Linked DNA regions of Arabidopsis thaliana. The protein of the gene in region 2 interacts with the protein of the main gene of each other region in a pairwise test. Each region holds a gene or a part of one and is shown on either strand. Other genes may lie near its edges. The genes, in order: SK32, AT3G60200, GSK1 and LSU2.

Region 1 (6,380 bases), on a different chromosome or scaffold from region 2:
TGGTTAGAAAACGCGAACTGTGAGATGATGATGTTATGTTGGATGGGATCTGTATCGTTTCAAGTTAAAAAAAAAAAAAAAGCTGTCTCTCGTGGAGCATTAAATGTATTTTGCAGGCATATTCATTCATTTAATGCTATACCTTGTCTCCTTCCTTTGCATGATATGGGGCTTACGTATTCCGCCATTTTCGTTGCGCCACGTCATTCCCTTGACAGACTGGTGCGATGAACCAGACGTTACGCCGTCGTTTTCTCCCTTCTGTTTGTTTGGTTCTTTTCTCTTTCTCAATATGTTGTTTTTAAGTTGCAGACAGGAAAAGAAAAACGTAAGCAAGTGAATTTAAATAGCTGTACGGTGGTGGGCTTTATTTTAAAGCCCTGGCCCGTTATGGCTAATGATTCCTAGATCTTATAACATTAATTGGGCCTACAACAATATCATGTGCCATTATTTATCCGTTCATTTTGCAAAGACTTTAGATTGATACTGCACTAATAAGCCCATAAGGCAAGTGAAAAATGTCATTTAATCCCCCAACTTTCAAAAAATGGTCATTTTATATATCAACTTCGTATGTGGCCGTTTAAAACATGAACTAAAGGTTGACTAATTTTTTAAACATGATCTTTCGTTGACCAGACTAAAATAGACATGCCGTTATCAGTCATTAACGGAACTTCTAATGTCCGTTATCATCCGTTAATTTTATTAGTCAAGTTTCAAATTGTGGCCATTTTAAACATCAACTTCTTATTTGGCCATTTAAAACATGAAGTAAACGTTGACTACCATTTAAGACATGAAAAATTCGTTGACCAGGCCAAAATAGACATGTCTTTATCAGTAGAACCTAGAAACTCGTTAATGACTGCTAATCTATCCAAAACAACGTCGTTTGAGAATAATCGAAAGAACATAAAGATTTTTTCCATATGAAATTTCCATATCAAAAAGTTTTAAGCAGAACCCAAGAACATAGTTTGATATAGAGATAACCGCAGTGCCAGTAATTGGAAGCAAATAAAGGTGTTTTCGTTTATATATTTGTTTTAAATTTTAAAAGGAATCATGGAAGCAAATTGAAGACTCATTATAAGATTGTTCGTCTTGTTTGAGCGGTTGTAGAAATAGATTTGGGGAACTGGAGTTTCATTTAGAAAACAATCCTGATTTTCTTTGGATTATTCTCAAAACAAAGTCATTTTAGGGATACTAATAGAGTCGTTAACAAGTGATAATGAATGTTATAAGTTCTTTTAATGAATGATGACAACATGTTTATTTTGGCTTGGTCAACGAATTTCTCATGTTTTAAATGGTAGTTAACTCTTAGTTCATGTTTAAAATGGCCACATATAAAGTCGATGTTTAAAATGACCACAATTTAAAACTTGACTAATAAAGTCGTTAACGGATGATAACAGAAGTTAGAAGTTCCGTTAATGACTGATAACGGCATGTCTATTTTGGCCTGGTTAACGAATAATCATGTTTTAAAAGTTAGTTAACGTTTAGTTCATGTTTTAAACGGCAGCATACGAAGTTGACGTATAAAATGACCATTTTTTGAAAGTTGGGGGATTAATTGACATCTTTTCCCATAAGACAATGGTTCAATCAGTAATAACCACATCCTCATTAACATTCCTCAGATAGTAAACTAACCAATATATGTTTTATTTTACTTCGTTTCTCAATCTAATAGATTACTTGAATTGTTTATAGATTACCTCATAGGATGATGATAATTAATAGTTTAAAATTTTGAACAGAGACATTATTAAAAATGTCTAAAAACAGTAAGAAATTACTAAAATTATCTGTTGCAGGAGCAAAAAGAGGGAAGTGGTCAAAGATGGTCAAATGAAAATAATACAGTGCCCGCATATTCCGCGTGGGCTTAGATGCAATCATTCAAAACCCCCAAATCCTTTTGCCTAATCCCGGGATACGTAAATAGACAAACAATACAGGGGTACTTTAGTAATCACAGCTTGTCGAAATCGGGCGGATTCATCCTAACCCGTCGGATGAGCTGCTGCGATAAATCAACGGTGAGGAGTCAATGTTTGACCAAAAAAAGAGTAGAGAGAGATAGAGAAAGAGAACGAGGCTGGCATGATTGGCTTTGCCCACGAGAGAGAGAGAAAGATTCCACCTGGGTTGGGTCGTGAAGAAAGAGAAGAAGAAACCGAAGAAGCTCGAAGAAGAACGAAGGAGATTCTTCCTTTCCCCAGATTTTTCGTTTGAAGAAGAATCGAAAAACTTAGATTTTTGGTTTTGCTTTCGGAGTTATTCGAATTTGAAATATCTGAATCTGTTGATTCATTTATTCTCCGCATGAAGCTGTGTTGGTGAAGTTTTTCGGAGATTTAGGGTTTCTGAGTTGTTCCTCGTTTGGTTGGTGAATAAAGCGAAGATGAACGTGATGCGTCGTCTCAAGAGCATTGCTTCGGGTCGGACCTCCATTTCTTCGGATCCTGTAAGTATCCATTTTCAATGTCTCTCGTTTCAAGATCAGATTGATTTTATATTTCTGATTGTTGAAATTTTTCTCTCATTCTCATCCAGAAATTACGGATTGATGTCGTTTATAGTATGTTACAAGTCAAATTTAAGCTTTTGAGATCTTTAGTTTTAGATATTCTAGTAAATGCTTATGTTTTTGTATGAATTTGATTATCTCTGCTGTTTCATTGATTTTGGATGAGTATGTTGATGTTGACCTGACTAATTTCGTGTTTTTGGTGTTTGTTTTAGGGTGGGGACTATGCGTTGAAGAGAGCTAAGCTGGATCAAGAGAACGACAACTTGTGTGTTGATCCAATGCAGGTTGACCAAAATAGTTCTTGTTTTGAGATGAAAGCTGACGTTTTGTCACAAGAAAGTGTTGCTGGAACGTCAAATGTGCCTGCTGTATCGGAAAAACCCGTGGATGATCAGCTTCCCGATGTTATGATCGAAATGAAGATTAGAGACGAGCGAAATGCCAACCGCGAGGATAAGGTGAGTTGCTTAATCAATGTATATATCGTCGTCGTGATCTCCATTAGCCACTGCTCACATCTTCATTTGGCTTGTGAAGGATATGGAAACAACTGTTGTAAACGGCAGTGGGACCGAAACGGGACAAGTTATTACGACGACAGTTGGGGGTAGAGATGGAAAGCCAAAGCAGGTCATTCAACTAACTTTTTTTCTGATTGCCGTTGTGTTTGAGAAAAGCTATTAATCATGATAGTCATTTCTTTTATGAAAAGATTGTTTCTCTTTTCACTTCTGTTGGGTGTATCTTTAATTTACTCTTTCTTTCTTGTTTCAGACTATCTCATACATGGCCCAGCGAGTGGTTGGAACCGGCTCATTCGGAGTAGTGTTCCAGGTAGGTGGAAATTCTTATAGCAGGAACATAACTAATCCTTAACTATTTGTGTTCCCAGAATTTGACTTTCTGTCTGATTTTTGGATAGGCCAAGTGCCTGGAAACGGGTGAACAAGTTGCAATTAAGAAGGTTCTGCAGGATAAAAGATACAAGAACAGAGAACTTCAGATCATGCGTTTGCAAGACCATCCCAACGTTGTGCGGCTGAGGCATTCTTTCTTTTCAACAACTGACAAGGATGAGCTGTATCTCAACCTTGTCCTTGAGTATGTTCCCGAAACTGTATACAGAGCATCGAAGCACTATACCAAAATGAATCAGCATATGCCAATTATCTTTGTTCAGCTCTATACTTATCAGGTGAGTTCTATTAGCTCTCCGGTTACTCGTTTCTAGTAATCTGTGTAGCATAAAGCTACAAATACATAGGAAATTTATAATTTCACTTATGCTGATTTTGTCATTTCTGTTGCTTTGTTGGATATCAGATTTGCCGTGCGCTGAACTACTTACATCGCGTGGTTGGGGTGTGTCACCGTGACATTAAGCCACAAAATCTACTGGTATAGTGTGAATAATTTCTGCTTAAAGGTTGGTAAGACGTATGAAAGGATAATTCATTGATTCTCTTATGATGTGGCTTTCATAGGTTAATCCCCAAACTCATCAATTAAAAATATGCGATTTTGGAAGCGCAAAGATGTTGGTATGTTCATTTTTTTTTGATGAGTTCTTGGAGATGAGTTATCATTTGAATAATGATGGCTAACACCCTTTGCGTCTCAGGTACCCGGTGAACCTAACATATCCTATATATGCTCCCGGTACTACAGGGCCCCAGAACTTATATTTGGGGCGACAGAGTATACCAATGCCATTGACATGTGGTCCGGCGGTTGTGTCATGGCAGAGCTTTTACTTGGTCAAGTAAGTATATTATACATTGTAGAGTTTCGGTTATGATGAACCATTTTATTTTGATTGATCAGTTTTCATTATTACTTCGAAATAACATTTAATCTGATAACAACTGTTGATTTTCTACCCGTAGCCACTGTTTCCCGGGGAAAGTGGCATTGATCAGCTGGTGGAGATAATCAAGGTACTTAACCTGATCCCTCGTGTTCCTTCATCTCTCTTCTATATTTAATTTACTAGTTTACTCATCTGTACATCTACCAGATTCTTGGGACGCCTACAAGAGAAGAAATACGGTGTATGAATCCGAATTACACAGAGTTCAAGTTTCCTCAAATCAAAGCTCACCCGTGGCACAAGGTTTGTTAAATAATCGCAGGTGCCTCTTTGGTGCGTGTGCTTGTTCAAATGAAATTTAATGTAGCATATAACTCTTCAGATTTTCCACAAGCGAATGCCACCTGAAGCAGTAGACCTCGTCTCAAGACTCCTTCAGTACTCACCAAACCTTCGTTGCACTGCAGTAAGACTAAATCCTGCTGGACACCACAAAACTATATAATCTCCTTGGCTGATTTGGAATTTTCTAACTCAAATTCTACAAAACACTTTTTTTCCATTTGTTAAGTTGGAAGCTTGTGCACACCCCTTCTTTGATGACTTACGGGATCCAAATGTTTCACTGCCAAATGGAAGAGCACTGCCTCCATTGTTTAACTTCACTGCCCAAGGTCAGTACATATATTATCTTTTACCTTAGCTTCATCCTTACAAAAACTGTGAAGTTATCATTAGCCGACTTTGTTTAGATTTCACAATCATATGTGAAGAGTAGAAATTGCAGCAGAATACAAGAAATGTTTTGACGGATTGGGTCTACATTTGGTTCTGTCACATTGATTTGTTGCCATTGTATGTGACTATTCAGAACTTGCGGGTGCATCAACAGAGCTGCGACAGCGTCTAATTCCAGCACATTGCCAGGGAACGGGAAGTAGCTCTTAGGATCATTTATAGCGTGTCCAAATCCAGCTTTCTTTCTCTCCCTCTATTTACTGCAGTGTGTACATCAATTTTGAACCACTTCTGCTTCCAAGCTTTTGTCGCCGGAGGAGAGATTGGAAATCTGTACGCCGGGACCTGATGAGGTGTGAAATAACTGGGGTCATGAAGCTTCTTCTTCTTCTTCTGACTGGCTTTTCTCTCAATTTGCTATCCTTGTTATTTTCACCTTCACTTTCATTTTTTTGTTTTTTTTTCCACAAATCTGACCCCCCTTATATGTTTGGTGTATCATTTTTATGTGTTTGTAATCCATCAAGATCATTTTCCCTTGCCCTAATATTGCAAGCTAAGATTCCGTTTCATGTTCCTCTCTAAGATGGTTTTTGGGTGAACAAATAAACTCTTAACGACATTTTTCTATTGTATCTCAGGACTGGCACAGATTCCAGGTAAGCTATTTAACTGAAATGCACATGTTGTTTAATTAAAGTTGAAAAGCGAGGAAGATGAATGAAGAGTTAACTAACTTCACAATCGGACGAGTAATTAAACTATACTGTAGGAGTCGAAAGTCCTGTAACTTTGACACGAATTTGTGTTTGGTTAAAATTTTGAATAATTTACTCAACTATTGGAATTTAACCACAAAAACCCCTTTCACTGTCGAATATCTCTTTAGTCAAAAGACAAGAGTTCATACATGTTTAGTCTGTGTGACCTATAGATCAAAAGAAACAAAACCCTCTTTTGGTTTCTGCAATAATGGGTTTTTTAGTACAATAAAGTTTCAGGAAATGGATTTCAAAGCTAATAAAGGAAATGACTCCTTCAATTCAATGCCCATAAAAAGAGGCACAAGAAGGGCAAAACACCTCATACAACCAGAAGAAGAGGGTCTATAGTTTTGCATTGCTCTTGAGTGTTTTCCCATCATTGTGCTCAAAAGATTCATACCCCTTTTACTTGGTAAGATGTTCTTTCATCTTTCCCAACAAGAAAAATCTTAAATGCTATATATCTTACTTCACTCGGGGAACTCCATTCATCTTTGCTTCAAGGTTCGAGCCCTCT
Region 2 (3,915 bases):
TGAAGGAACTCTGCATACTCCTCTGTTCCATCATCAGTCTTATGAAGCTGCAACACTAAAGGCCGTCTCGTAACGATACCTGCACAAACAATACTTCTTCCTCAAAACCAAAGCTCCTCCTTGCTTTATATACAAACATAAGAGAAAAGGGAAAATTTTCACAAACCAGATCCTCTAGGAAGAAAATCTCTCCCAACTATACTCTCAAGAACCGAAGATTTCCCAGAACTCTGCACAAACCCAAAAAAAAAGTAAGTTGAAGAGTCACCAGAGAGAAAACCTAGGAAGAAGTCAAAGATATTTCAACCGGAGAAATCACCTGACCACCGACGACGGCGACGGTTGGAAGAGCTTCCCAGAGAGAATTGAAAGCGTTACTTCCAGTTCCACCACCATAGTCACCGAGTACGGTACATGCTCTCTGTATCCTATTAACTAACCCAATCAAACTCTCCATAGTCGTCATCTTCCTTCTCCTTCAGTTTCAGATGAGAGAATATAAAGTTCCAAAGACGAAATTTTCAGTTCAGAATTAGAAAGCTGCTTGAAAATTCGCCAACAGACCAAAGACTTCAAGAGCTGAGAGAGAGAGACGAAGAAGAAAAATATTCGTAGGGGCAAAATAGGAAAATGAATTTAGAGAATAAATGTCTCTCTTTGATTTCTAGAAGGTTTGATTTGTGTGCCTGTGGCTGTGTGGTTCGGTCGGTTTACAGATAGCTTAGCCGCCGTTAAGGAGTCGTCTGGCTCTGGTTCGTTTTGGTTCGGTACGGTCTGGTTCTTACTTTTCTAGACGGTCAAATCTAAAATAATGAAGATAAGATTTGTGTCCCTTTAATTTGAGATATTTGTAACCTGTTTGAATTTTCGAATTTTGAAATTCCACATGGACCCCTCACACAAATACAAAATAATAAGTCTAGAAACAACAATCAACATTGTTTAGAAGGCCCAATAGATATAGAAGACTTTTAAAAGGACCCAATAATAAAGTTAGGTCCAGGAAGAGGGTAGGAGGCTATATGTATACAAGCGGTTCTCTAGTTTTTATGGGTTTTGTGTTATCCAGTCTGAATTATTTTAGATTTTATTTTAGAAATCACAAACATAAAATAATATTTCTAGAAAATTTTGAATTTCTTAGTACTTGGTAAATAATGAATCATTCTTCACAATAAACATAGACATAAACACAAAAACAATGAGTTTCTCTCAACATCATGATTTAGTTATCAACCAAACCAAACTAAATGACTGAAATAACCAAACTAACATAACATATTCAAACTAAGAAGAAGCAAAAACTAAGTATAGGTTGTCGTTATTTATTACATCATTGATTATCACATGACAGGCCCAATAGACAAGGAGACTTTAGGAAGGCTTTAAAAGCCCAATAATGAAGTTAAGGCCTATTGATGAAATATGAAAACCACGTGGCAATATGTAGAAGAAACGGACGAACATTCGTGTGAGATATGTGGAAAACGACGATGGCTCGTCTTCACCTAATACTTGTCGGCTTTTACCATCCAACGTCACATGCTTCTCTTTTAGGTTTTTTATTTATTTATACAGTTATATCATTGTTTCAAGTCAGTGGCTGAGGTAATCACTACACATCCCATTCAAATCCAATGGTATTGGTCCGTATATTGAATTAAAGAAAGGTCAACCATAACTAGATTTTATCTTCTACAACTATGAAACTATAATGGCGCGTTAGATCAATTTTTTGTAAGTTGGCAAAATTACGAACCAAAAATTGCAATTGAATCACTAACCATCGCATAATTAAATTTTGCATTAAAGAAATGGTTAGTGATAAAATGATCTGTCAAAATGTTGTGCTTACAAATCTCCATTAGATAAATAAATTAGTTTCTCTCTCTCATCTATCTTTTTTTTTGGTTTTCCGACATAGAATGCTATCTCTCTCTCTCTAAGCCTATCTCAAAACAGAGATCTTAGGAGAAGAAGACAAAATCTTTACCACCAGATCTTTTCTTCTTCCTTCATCTTTACAGGTTGTCACATCACTATAACCACCGAAACTCTCGGCCCAACCCAAAAAAAAAAAAGCTTCCTTTCGAAAAAAATCAAAGCTTTTTCTTTTATCTTCAATTCTCCTCCGATGAGGTGTAAAAGACACACCGTCGATCTCAGCAGCAGCAACGGCGTTTGCGCTTCTTGCCTCCGTGAACGTCTCCTCTCTCTCGCCGCTTCCGCCGCCGTATCAGCCGCCGTAGAAGATAATCAATCAAAGAAATCTAATAACAATAATCATCCTCCGCTTTTGATTTTCCCTCGCTCTGTTTCTCCTTACGTTACCCGTAGAAAATCCGACGCCGGAGCCGGTGGAGGAGATCCTTTAGTTTCTTCTAATCGGAGATTCATTACCACGCCACAGATAGATCTCGTCGGATATTCATGCAAAGATTTCGAATCGAATCGATCAAATAAATCAAAACAAGGTAAAAAAGTATCTAGATTCTCGAATCTATTCAGAGCTAGATCTGAAGATTTCGATACCAATCCCAAATCCAACAATCCTAGATTCTCCTCATGCGACGCGTCTGAGATTTCATCTTCTTCTTCCTCTTCACGTTCATGGATCTCGACGATTCTCTCCACCGGTCGACGTAAAAAGCAACCAACCACCGCGTGTTACATCGAAGACGTTATCGCTGCGCGTAGACCTCAACGTATATACTGTAGAGGAATGTCACCTGTAAGAGATACGGAACCGGAGCAGTCGGCGGAATCAATCGAGGAATTGAGGAGAACTCCGGCGACGAAAACTCCGGGAAGGAGGAAGATTGCGATGGGGATAGGGAAGAGCATGTCGGGGATGGCTTTTTGTTTGAGTCCGTTGGTGAGAGCTAGTCCTAACTGTCCGTTTAAACGGAAAATGAGATTTCCATCGGAGTTTGGTAATTCTGGGGAGGTAACGGCGGTGCCGGAAAAGCCTCATATATCAGCAGCGGCGTCGTTTTGTGCAAATAGATCGAAGAAGCTTGTGGATTTAGGTAGAGTTGATCGCCGCCGTTGAGTTTTTTTATTTTGGTGGGATTAGTCTTTGGTCAACGTGTTTGACTATTGGATAGTAAACTACGGCTTTCTGAAGATGGATTTTGCCAAAATCAAGCTTTTTATATGGCTTGTGGTGAATAATCTCTATGGGAAATAGCTCAAACAATACTTTTGTTATAAAAAATTGTAATGTTTTCTGATTGTAATTGTAGAGTTTGAATGGCCAAATATATTGTTCTTAGGAGATTAAGAGAAATAATGTAGTGTGTTCTTGTTTTTTTACTTATGAGAATTACTTACCGATTATTAGGACAAGAAATCAAGATAAAACCGGATCGATTGATTGGTAGAACCGTGGAACCTGATCAAACCGGATCTAAATTCCAAAAAAATTGGACAAAATCAGTATGGGTTCGTATAGCGGTAAGATCCTATATGAACCGTGCCAATAATACCGAATCAGGTTAGTCAATCTATATGTGCTGAAGTATTAATTCAAATGTATTATGTCATATAGTCAAAGACTCAAATGTCATTACACTAAGCATTACGGTTTTGAGTAGTAGTAGTAGTAATGCGGGTGCTTAGATTTTGAAATTTGACCCATGAATTTCTGGCTATAAATAATAAGAGTGCGACAGTTTTGACTTATTTTTTGTCATCACCTTGGAAAAGTTTATCTTGGGTTTCACAGTCCTTCTTCTCTAGTCCACTTCAACACATAGACCTACAAAGCTATATTGGAATCGCTTATGACACAAGTATCAAAATATCTTTTATCGACTTTTAATAAAAATCCAAGTACGACATAGAGTGCTTTCAATTCAACTTTATAAAAGTTGTCTAATAACTCGAAAGAGTTTAAATGAAGAGGGTCCACGG
Region 3 (6,365 bases), on a different chromosome or scaffold from region 2:
TGCGATCTGCGTCACTTGGTGGCAGTCAAAACAGAAGAGGCTAAAGCCTTTGCTGAGAGAGAATCCCTCTATTTCATGGAGACTTCAGCTCTAGACGCAACCAATGTTGAAAACGCATTCACGGAAGTGCTCACTCAGATCCACAAGATAGTGAGCAAAAGAAGTGTTGATGGAGGAGGAGAGTCGGCTGATTTACCGGGAAAAGGAGAGACGATAAACGTTAAAGAAGACGGATCGGTTCTTAAGAGAATGGGTTGCTGCTCTAACTAGAGTGGGGGGATTGTAGATTTGGCTTGATTTGGTTAGGGTGAGACAACAAATGATAATCTCTTTGGGTCTTGCAATCAAAAAAGAAATAAGAAACGATTACTTTTAAGATCATGTGTATGCTTTGGTAACTTTGGCCTGTAAGGTCCTTTAAAATTTAAGTACATGATTGGTAATTTGTTTTCAACACTCCCACCACTTGTAATTTGTAAACTTGTAATAAACTGAAGAAATGCAAATCATCACCTACGTAACATTTCGAAAATAGATCTAGCGACTTTTAATTTAAGAGGATGATTATTTATCCCTCTAGTCTTTTGTGTTGAGAGAAGAAAACAAAAAAACATCTGTAGCTAATCTTTTGGACATGACATGGTTTAATATTATCACCTCGTTTTTCTTTTGTCTCTACGTATCTGTCAGAATTGTTTTACAGACAAAAACATATACAAAAATACACGAGGAACAGTGTCTCTCTCCACTCTCCAGGCTACGGAATAAAAAAAAAAAAAACGCAATTATCAGCATCTGATTTCTCAAAAAGCTGAATATGACTTTACTACGGGTATAGAAGCTGATAATAGTCGTGGTTAATATACTGTTGAACCTGTCAACTATCAAATAAAAGTAGTAAACCTGCTTTTCTCCTCTTTCTCTTCAGACATGCACAGTTTTTAACTGTTTTGTAATCCTGTGCTCATTTGTCGTCTCACATGCTCAGGTATTAGCCTGTTGATTAGCTCCATTGAAGCTCCACCTAACTGTTTCCACATCCAAAGAACAAATTGGGTTATGTTGAAGTTCCACTAAAGAAACATCATCCTTTGCTATTGATTTTTACCTCTTGTTTGAAATTGAACAATGGCGGTAATGGACGACCATTTGGAAGACGGGCGTTTGGCTCTCGGAGTTCATTGAAAAACGGATGAGCACATGCTTCGAGCTAAAAATAGACAGAGAACAAGACAAATGTTAAAATGAATCTTAGCTTTATCCAACACTTGGAAGATTCAAAAAGAGTTATCACTGACGACTACTTTCGATTATAAAAAAAAGAGGGAGATACTGACCGCAGTGCAGCGTAGACTTGGTGAATATTGAAGAAGCCGAGATGCAAGGTCTATTGCTTCTGGAGGCATCCGTTTATGAAAAACCTGGAGGTCAAGGGTACAGTATATGGTTGATGCTATAAATGAATCGCTTCAATGTATACTGTGTAGGTAATGAGTTCAGTAATTGCTTAACCAGGAACAAAAGGTGAGATGAACTACCTTGTGCCAAGGGTGAGCTTTGATTTGTGGGAACCTAAAATCTGTGTAGTTCGGGTTCATACATCGAATTTCTTCACGAGTTGGAGTACCAAGAACCTAAAACAAGGTAGCAAGTGTACTTATGGTAACATATTTACTAGATTCTAGTCTAATACCAAAGACAAAAAAGAGCACATCCATTAGTCTAATAAAGGAGACTTCACCTTTATGATCTCCACAAGCTGATCAACTGAATTTTCTCCTGGAAATAACGGCTGTAGAGAGAGAGAGAGACTGGCTTAATATAACATTGGGTGCGCACTTTTTGCATTTTGCAGAGACTCTTTATTTAACAAGGTAATTAACGCATAAAAATCCACACTAACCTGGCCCAGAAGAAGCTCTGCCAGTACACAACCAGCAGACCATATATCTATGGATGCTGTATACTCTGTGGCGCCAAAGATCAGTTCTGGAGCACGATAATAACGGGAGCAGATATATGATATGTTTGGTTCACCTTTGACCTAATAGTGAATTACCAAAAATTTAAAAGGGTTACCAAAACAGAGAACATGCTGCTCGCACTTAATGGTATAACTCACACTTATATGGTAGCTCAGTGAACTAGATGCGTAGATACATAACCAAGCCGAAAACACACAAAAAAGGTGAGATAATGAAAAGATAACACCCTTACCAATACTTTTGCACTTCCAAAATCACACAGCTTAACCTGATGGGTCAAGGGATCAACCTACAGTATGCACCAGAAAGTGAGATCCAGAAATAGTCAAGATTACAAACCACATGGCATGCTAGATAACGTACCAAGAGATTTTGTGGTTTCACATCTCTGTGGCAAACACCGGGAACAGTATGGATGTAAGCCAAACCTCTAAAGATCTGCACAATAGATATTTCAAATCAGTTTCAGAGTAAATTCTAATAAATTATAATATTTGTGAGAACTAACTGCAAATAACAGTACATACTTGATATGTGTAAAGCTTGACATAGAAAATTGGCATCCTCTGATTAGAACTAGTATAGTGCCTCAAAACCCGGTATAAAGTCTCAGGTACATACTCCATAACAAGGTTGAGGAAGAGCTCATCTCTACTCGTTGTAGAGAAGAAACAGTGCTTCAAGGAGATGACATTTGGGTGATCCATTGGTCGCATTAGTTGCAACTCACGGTTTTTATAGCGTCGATCTTGCAAGACCTTTTTAATGGCTACTGATTCTCCAGTTTCCAAGCATTTCGCCTAAAATCGTAAATTTCAGACTTGATCAGAAAGAAAGAAGAGAATTTATGTCCTGGAACCGCTAGTACAGAGAAGCACAAAATACCTGAAAAACAATCCCGAATGAACCTGTTCCAACAACCCGCTCAGCCATGTAACTAATGGTCTGTAGGGGACAGAATGAAGATCATGTAAGGGAGAGATGAATTAATTTGACTTGAAAAAGGGTTTTAATGGGAAAGTAACACTTGCTGGAGCATTTGATGCGAAATGAATAACCCAGACCCCGCAGAAACCTTACACATGGTACTGTGCTATAACCGTAAGTGTTAACTACTAGTTAGTTATCTAAGAGATTTTGCAAACATTAGCATCAAACCTGCTTTGGTTCGCCGTTTTTGCCTCCAATAGTAGTGGAAATGATATGACCAGTAACAGCGTCATTTCCCTCAATAACAGCTGCAGACATTTCCTGCAATCCACCTCACATATTAGTATAGACATTAAACTATTTTGATCAACTACAAGGTGGAATAGAGATGGCAAGCATTTACTGCATCCGATTATTTCAACAAACCTCAGGATAGGTATGACTGTATGAGAATGCTGTTATTGCTATTATACAAGTGGTCGGAATTAACTTATATTGAAAACGTGAAGCTAACACATATAAAATGTACCAACTAACCAGTTGTCAAGCCAATAGAAGCACTCAAGCAAGATGCAGAAAGAATAAGAAAAATAAAGTAAAGCATGGGTTAACCAGAGGTAAACAATGGTGATAGAAGTTCAAAAATGTAGTGATTTTAGACGTCAAACAATTTATGGGTATTAGATATAGAACAAAAAAAAAAATCATAGATACAAAATACAAGTCAATGGAAGAAGTTCTGCCAGAGTGAAGGACAAGCCATAAGACAAAATTCAGAATAAATGTCGATGGCAAATAGAAAAGAGAGAGAGACAGAGACAGAGAAGCAATGGGCCAAGAAAACCATAACTAAAGGAATACTCCGAAACCTACCGAGAGTGAATTCAGAGATCTACAAGTAAACTGTACTTTGTAGAATGAACAGTGTTGAAATAAATAATATCCAAACAAGCAAATTGTTGTACTTGAAAGTGAACAGTGTTGAAACAAACAATCGAAATATCCAAAAACAAATATGAAGGGGAAATATTCAACCTAGTTTACTGAAAATGTAAGTTTCCCAAGCGCAAGAAACTATCTCAAATTATTTTACACTAAATTTTTCAACAAGATTCGAAGATTACTGCTACTTAGATCTCCGGTAGAGAAGGTTGAAGTAGTAGCTGGGAGATACCAAGAGTAATCTAGCTACTGCATGCATACAAATGAAGTAAAAATCACAGTCTCCTATCAAAACGCCTCGTCGGAGAAAGAAACAAAAAAACTCTCCGGTGAGCTCAGATCAATACAAGCGACGAACAAACACAAGAGCACGAGAATATAGATCGATTCGACTGAACTAAGACATAGAACAAAGAAAGTAGGAGCTAGATCGGAGTAGATCTAGAACAGCCACCAAACGATAATTTCAAATGCACTGTTTACCAAACACAGACGGTAACAGTAACACACAAAACAAAGAGACGGGGAGAAATAAACCTTATCAGAATCCAATTCAGGACGGCGTTTCAAAGCGTCGCCGTCGTGAAGCTGCAGCGGCGGAGCAAGAGCATGAGGCTGAGGCCCCAATGGTAATGAGGCCATGTGCTTTTTTACTCTTTTCTCTCTCAACCACTGAACAATGAGTAAAGTCTAATTTTTCCTCTCTCTTTGCTTCTAAATTTCAGAAATGGTTCAAAGACAATGGAGGACCCACGGAAGACTAGAGCGCGTGAATGTAACGGTCCAATGAGAAAACTACTTTTTAATTGATAAAGCACTGAAAAATTCTGATAAACACTTCCTTAGCATTTAATGATAACTAAATTACTAAGTTGAGTTAGAACTCCATTAAATATTCTAACTGAATAATAATGGTATCAAATGAATGAATACTCCAATCATATTTCCCAATTTAGATATTAAGCTTAACTTAAAGAGACTTTTCTTTGTCCCTTTAGCCTGAAGTGTTGCCTTTGTAAGACAATAGTTAACGATAGATTCTTTTTCATTACACTAACCAACAAAAGAATTACAGTTAGCATTCATACAAAGATAAAATTTAAGTTGCAAAGGGCTAAAAAAAATGACGATGAGACTAGTTTACGAAAATGTAAGATTAACAAGCAGTAGTGGGGAACGTAAACTATACAAAAATAAGACTCTGAGTCAAAGGGATTGGAAAGTGAAAAGATATATAACCGTTACTGTGATATCGAACAAGAACAATTGTCAAACAAAGAAAGATCAATGGAATCTACCTTTGTGGAGAGTAATTCAATAGAGTAGGAAAACTAATATTCTTTCCAATACATCACCAAAAACCATCTTTTTTAGAGAATTCATGTGACTATATATCTGCATAACAAAAGAAGATACCAGTAAAATCAATCAAAAGACCCACTCATGGAAATTTGTATTAAAACCATCTGTTTCACTCTAATCAATCTAGACAGTTTTGTTCAGTCTAGGCATTATCTTAAACATTACAGCATCACAAATTCCACTAAGAAAACAAACCAAAACTTGTGACTCACTGGAACCAGATCATCCATCAGCTTCTTTAAACAAATTCATCAAGCAACTGATTGATAAACAGGCAATGCCAAGCTCTCAAGTAACTTGAGATGAAACAATTTAACATTCTTCCATCTACCAGGAACTAAATCACCAATCCCATTCATGGCCGCTACAACATTCTCTGCAATCTCGTTCCTTCCCATTGACAACTTCGCTACTTTAACAACACTGCAAGTACCTGTACCAACGAAGAACAAAGCTGATTCACAAGCTTTTTCGATCTGCTCTTTCCAACTACCATGCCTTAAGTTAATCGCAATCGGAGTCTTATTCTTCTTAACAAACTCTTTCCCCAACAGCTTCGGCAACATCGGCATTAGCCTCCTCTCCGCGAAATACAACTCGAATCGCTTCTCCTCCTCTAATTTGCGTAAATCGGATTTCAATTTGGAGACTTTAATAACTGTGGTGATTGGAATCTTCTCTGCTTCGATCTTCTTCAAAGCCGCTTCCTTTGTGATTTTGTTCTTGTGTTTGTCGTCGATGATCAAACAGAGCTCCGGCGGATCTTCGGCGACCAGATCGATGAGAGGATGAGGAAGAGGGATCATCAAGGGGTTAGTACGATCCAACTGAGGGATTCTCTTCAGTGTCACGATTAGATAGACGAAACCGTCGTTCTCGAGTGATTCAGAGTTCTCGGTCTTGGATTTGGAGTCCCACCATTTTAGCAGAGACTTCACGGCTCTGTTAACGTTCTGCGGGTCAACCTTCGACTGGTGTCGCTGCGGAAGTGCAGCCGTAGTAGTAGTAGTACTCATTCTCCGGTGAGAAGACGGCGCAATGAACACAGGTTACGTTTGCGGAATTAGGGTTCTGAGCAAAAATTATAGGGTTTACGATTTTTTTCTTTTTTTTTTCTTCTTTCGACATTTTATTCGATTTTTTTTT
Region 4 (3,370 bases), on a different chromosome or scaffold from region 2:
TCCAAGTCTCTCCAAAGACAATTCTAGTTATACTTCAAAAAAAAAAACATTATAAATATTTGTTTGTTTTAATTGCATCACAATTTATGAAAAATTAAAGGGTTTTGGTTAACAAAAAAAAAAGACTAGACTTGTTTGCCCACGTCAGGTCACCTGGTTCTGTCAGAAACTAGATTTGTTCAAAAACAAACCCTTTGTTTATATTTGTACATAGTACACTGGCGTTGGATCCGTATATTCGTTTCCCTTTTTTCTCCCAAAAGCAAACCAAGTTCTCCAATTTTACTATGTCAAACTCTAGAAAGACCAAAACCACTGTTGCAATGTCAATGATTCAGTAGAATTCAAACACTTCTTCATATAATACGCAAAAATCTAAAAGCAAAATCTTTATTTGTAATTTGGTCATTTCACATATAATAATAGGAAACATGACCATAATTGCTTTAAATTTTCTTTCTGTTAAAGTAATTTACACGTCTTACAAACAAAATTCCATTTTAGTCAAACCAAACATCGAATATCATTTACTTTAAATTGTTTTCAAGACTTTTCATTCATCATTAATCGCAAAAATCAATCGGTAACAACATCGATTTTTTTTTTTGATTGAAACTTCCATATTTGTTTTAAAGACAACTCTACATATTGGCATTGATATGAGCCGATAAGAGGATACATCAAACAATCTAAAAAACCTATCTTTCTTTAAAAGCAAATATCTATCTAATTCTACGGAGAGGCAGAGGCAGAGTCTGAAGAAAGACGAGAGAGCTCGTTCATGAGAAAGATGATACGAGAGTGGTAATCACGAGCCTGGTCTAAAGATTCTGCTTCAAGCTCGGCTAGCTGTGAGCAGAGACGCTCCTCCGCTTCTTCCGCCACCTGTGTCCGCCGCCACAACTGCAACATCTCTTTCTTCATCTCCTCCACAGCTTTCTCCATCTCTCCGTTCTTCCGTCGTAGCTCGTCCACTTCGGAAGCCGCCACCGTCACATAGTTTCCTCCTTTCCCCATTTTTAAGAACTTTTAAAGGTTTTCTAAAGATTTCTCCTTTTGGTTATTTTGGTCACTTTGAGTTTTTTTGTGTTTTGTTTTGGTTCTTGAACGTTCCTTATTAATAGGCGTCTTTGAGACTGGGGTTTGGGTGGGTTTTATGTCTAGGTTCAATGTATCTATATCTCTTCTTCTTCTTTCTTATTTCTGGTGAGTTATTTTCTTCCTCTAGATTCTAGAACATTTTCTCTTTTAAATTATTTTCGATATACACGTTGGGTCCAATTAATATTTTGGAATATTTTAGTGGTACCATATAATTGTTTTATTGGTTAGAGACAAATTTGTTTTTAGAGGAGACACGAGATAAGTTATAATAAAAATTTATCAATCAATATAGTAAAATGTATTGGTTCAGTCATAATAACTCTTGTCATTTCAATAATACATATGGCAACGGATTTAAAATGAAAAATATTTGTTTAAACTGATATTTTTTTTTTAAAATGGAGTATTTGCTTTCTAAGAATGAATAAATTTCTTTGTCTAATTGAATAAAGTGGATTAAAACATATTTTGGACCATTTTACTTTGATCTAATTGCTATACATATAAAGTAATGAATATTTCATATTTACTGGACCATAAATACTAGTAATTCAATCTATTTATACAAGTCTAAACTGTAGCTCGTAAGTAAAAGTAATGAACAATTCTTACATTATAGCCCCAATGAGCTGTCAATTTCATCAAAGACAACTATATGTTAATAGATCATAATAATACATCGTCTTAATAATGGTCCTAAACTCAGGAATAAGTTGTGCAAATATGTTTTCATATACGCATGTAAAGAAAAGATTGTGACTATTATTGAAATAACATGAGTTATATTTATATCCACCAACTCTTTATCCTCAAAGAGGATATATATATCCGCTGTATTATGCTAACATTACCATTCTTGCACTTGAAAAATGACTTTAATTAATTGAACATTTTATTACCATGAATTGAACAAAATTTCTGAAAATTGCTTCTGAAGCATCCAATTTTCAAGATTTTATATATTCATTCTAAAAACTTAATTCAATAAACTCATGTAACAACAAACTAATCGTTGAATATATTTTCTTCTCGAGAACGTTGACTGGACACTAAAAGAATGAAAGAGTAGTACTATTTGAATTTTCAATGAAACCCCACTTATTTCAAAGGGGAACTTCTTTTTTTTCTTTTTTCTTTCTTTTCTGTTTTGCTATTTCATAGAATATAGAGAAAATAATTGTTTTCCACTATTTCTCTTAATTGCTAAAAGGCATGTAGAAATCATTTTCTCACCTTTATATTTTCCACTAATATATTCCGCCAATTATAGCCATTAATTAACTTGGAGCAAAGCCTTTGTCGATGTAACCCACATTCCCACTTCTTTCTCTTAACTGGAGTATTGGACAATATCTCCCAAAGTCAAGGGCTGTCACGATTATACAGCTATTCTTGTATAGTTAAAGTTACGGCTACGATTCATAGTTCTTAAATTACTTATTAGCTATTTCTTTAGTATCTTTATTGGTGTGTATGGGGAAAACTAAGAAGACTTTGGTTATGAATGGTGTCATGAAGCATAATAAAATAATACGGTGCGGTTTGATTTTACTCTTGGTCATGTTTTTGTGAATCATATTTGGACAACACACCAACCTCAAGAAGTAGGGTGATTCAAGTATAAACTGAAAAATCATAAGCGTTAAATACCGATTAATACAATCATATATATATTTCGAAACTTCAAAACATTAGTCAAAATTTGATAACTCATTTATCCGTTACTCGCACCAAACTAATTAAGATATCTATTCAGCTTTTGTTCTATTCGTTCTACACCATTTATTCTTTACAAACTACATCTGTTATGCTTTATTTGTCTGTTCGTTTTGTTCTATACGTCACCTTATGATGTGTATCTTCGTTTTCCTAGCAAAGGTTGGTCCAAAAAAATTGATGGCCCGAATCAATATTGTTTTTTTCTCTCTTTTTAGCTATAATTCAAAATCTTAAACAATATTGGTTATAAAATTATGTAAAGTTGTGTTAAATATATTGGAAAACACAGAGGGACCGGTCACCAACTGTTGAAATCTTTAGTTGGAATATGCTCTATGGATGCTGATCAGTGACCACTATCTAATTGACTAAAAAAATAATCATCATTCATCCAAAATATCCTAAATAGATTTTAAAACACCCAATTACATCAGCAACTATATATGTTACGTGAGCAACAGCGCTATACATGTAGAAAATAATTTCCAGTTTTTATAACATTACAAGATCACCATAAAAAGTACGGATGTTAAAATGGGCTAAACAT

The links.
Region 1: the proteins of AT3G60200 (region 2) and SK32 interact in a two-hybrid assay, tested with the Arabidopsis thaliana proteins (one large-scale study listed by BioGRID).
Region 3: the proteins of AT3G60200 (region 2) and GSK1 interact in a two-hybrid assay, tested with the Arabidopsis thaliana proteins (one large-scale study listed by BioGRID).
Region 4: the proteins of AT3G60200 (region 2) and LSU2 interact in a two-hybrid assay, tested with the Arabidopsis thaliana proteins (one large-scale study listed by BioGRID).

What each region holds. Positions count from the first base shown.
Region 1 is NC_003075.7:293,045-299,424, reverse strand, and holds SK32 (shaggy-like protein kinase 32), read left to right. Parts: upstream 1-1,945; 5' UTR 1,946-2,422; coding exon 2,423-2,485; intron 2,486-2,763; coding exon 2,764-3,009; intron 3,010-3,088; coding exon 3,089-3,181; intron 3,182-3,325; coding exon 3,326-3,385; intron 3,386-3,473; coding exon 3,474-3,746; intron 3,747-3,874; coding exon 3,875-3,949; intron 3,950-4,035; coding exon 4,036-4,092; intron 4,093-4,172; coding exon 4,173-4,313; intron 4,314-4,437; coding exon 4,438-4,488; intron 4,489-4,568; coding exon 4,569-4,664; intron 4,665-4,743; coding exon 4,744-4,827; intron 4,828-4,932; coding exon 4,933-5,035; intron 5,036-5,232; coding exon 5,233-5,309; 3' UTR 5,310-5,837; downstream 5,838-6,380. Other genes in the region: BSK3 (BR-signaling kinase 3), read right to left, coding at 6,329-6,380.
Region 2 is NC_003074.8:22,247,186-22,251,100, forward strand, and holds AT3G60200 (uncharacterized protein), read left to right. Parts: upstream 1-1,706; 5' UTR 1,707-2,134; coding exon 2,135-3,052; 3' UTR 3,053-3,383; downstream 3,384-3,915. Other genes in the region: DL1E (DYNAMIN-like 1E), read right to left, coding at 1-79, 167-230, 320-466.
Region 3 is NC_003070.9:1,944,994-1,951,358, reverse strand, and holds GSK1 (GSK3/SHAGGY-like protein kinase 1), read right to left. Parts: upstream 4,614-6,365; 5' UTR 4,500-4,613; coding exon 4,395-4,499; intron 3,237-4,394; coding exon 3,144-3,236; intron 2,931-3,143; coding exon 2,871-2,930; intron 2,786-2,870; coding exon 2,513-2,785; intron 2,424-2,512; coding exon 2,349-2,423; intron 2,275-2,348; coding exon 2,218-2,274; intron 2,045-2,217; coding exon 1,904-2,044; intron 1,793-1,903; coding exon 1,742-1,792; intron 1,635-1,741; coding exon 1,539-1,634; intron 1,422-1,538; coding exon 1,338-1,421; intron 1,211-1,337; coding exon 1,109-1,210; intron 1,029-1,108; coding exon 942-1,028; 3' UTR 509-941; downstream 1-508. Other genes in the region: ARA-2 (Ras-related small GTP-binding family protein), read left to right, coding at 1-270; AT1G06380 (Ribosomal protein L1p/L10e family), read right to left, coding at 5,471-6,235. UniProt on the Arabidopsis thaliana protein: Phosphorylates BSK1, BSK3, BSK5, BSK6, BSK8 and BSK11 in vitro. May mediate extracellular signals to regulate transcription in differentiating cells.
Region 4 is NC_003076.8:8,442,740-8,446,109, forward strand, and holds LSU2 (response to low sulfur 2), read right to left. Parts: upstream 1,363-3,370; 5' UTR 1,018-1,362; coding exon 733-1,017; 3' UTR 540-732; downstream 1-539. UniProt on the Arabidopsis thaliana protein: May be involved in defense responses monitoring. Probably implicated into osmotic stress signaling.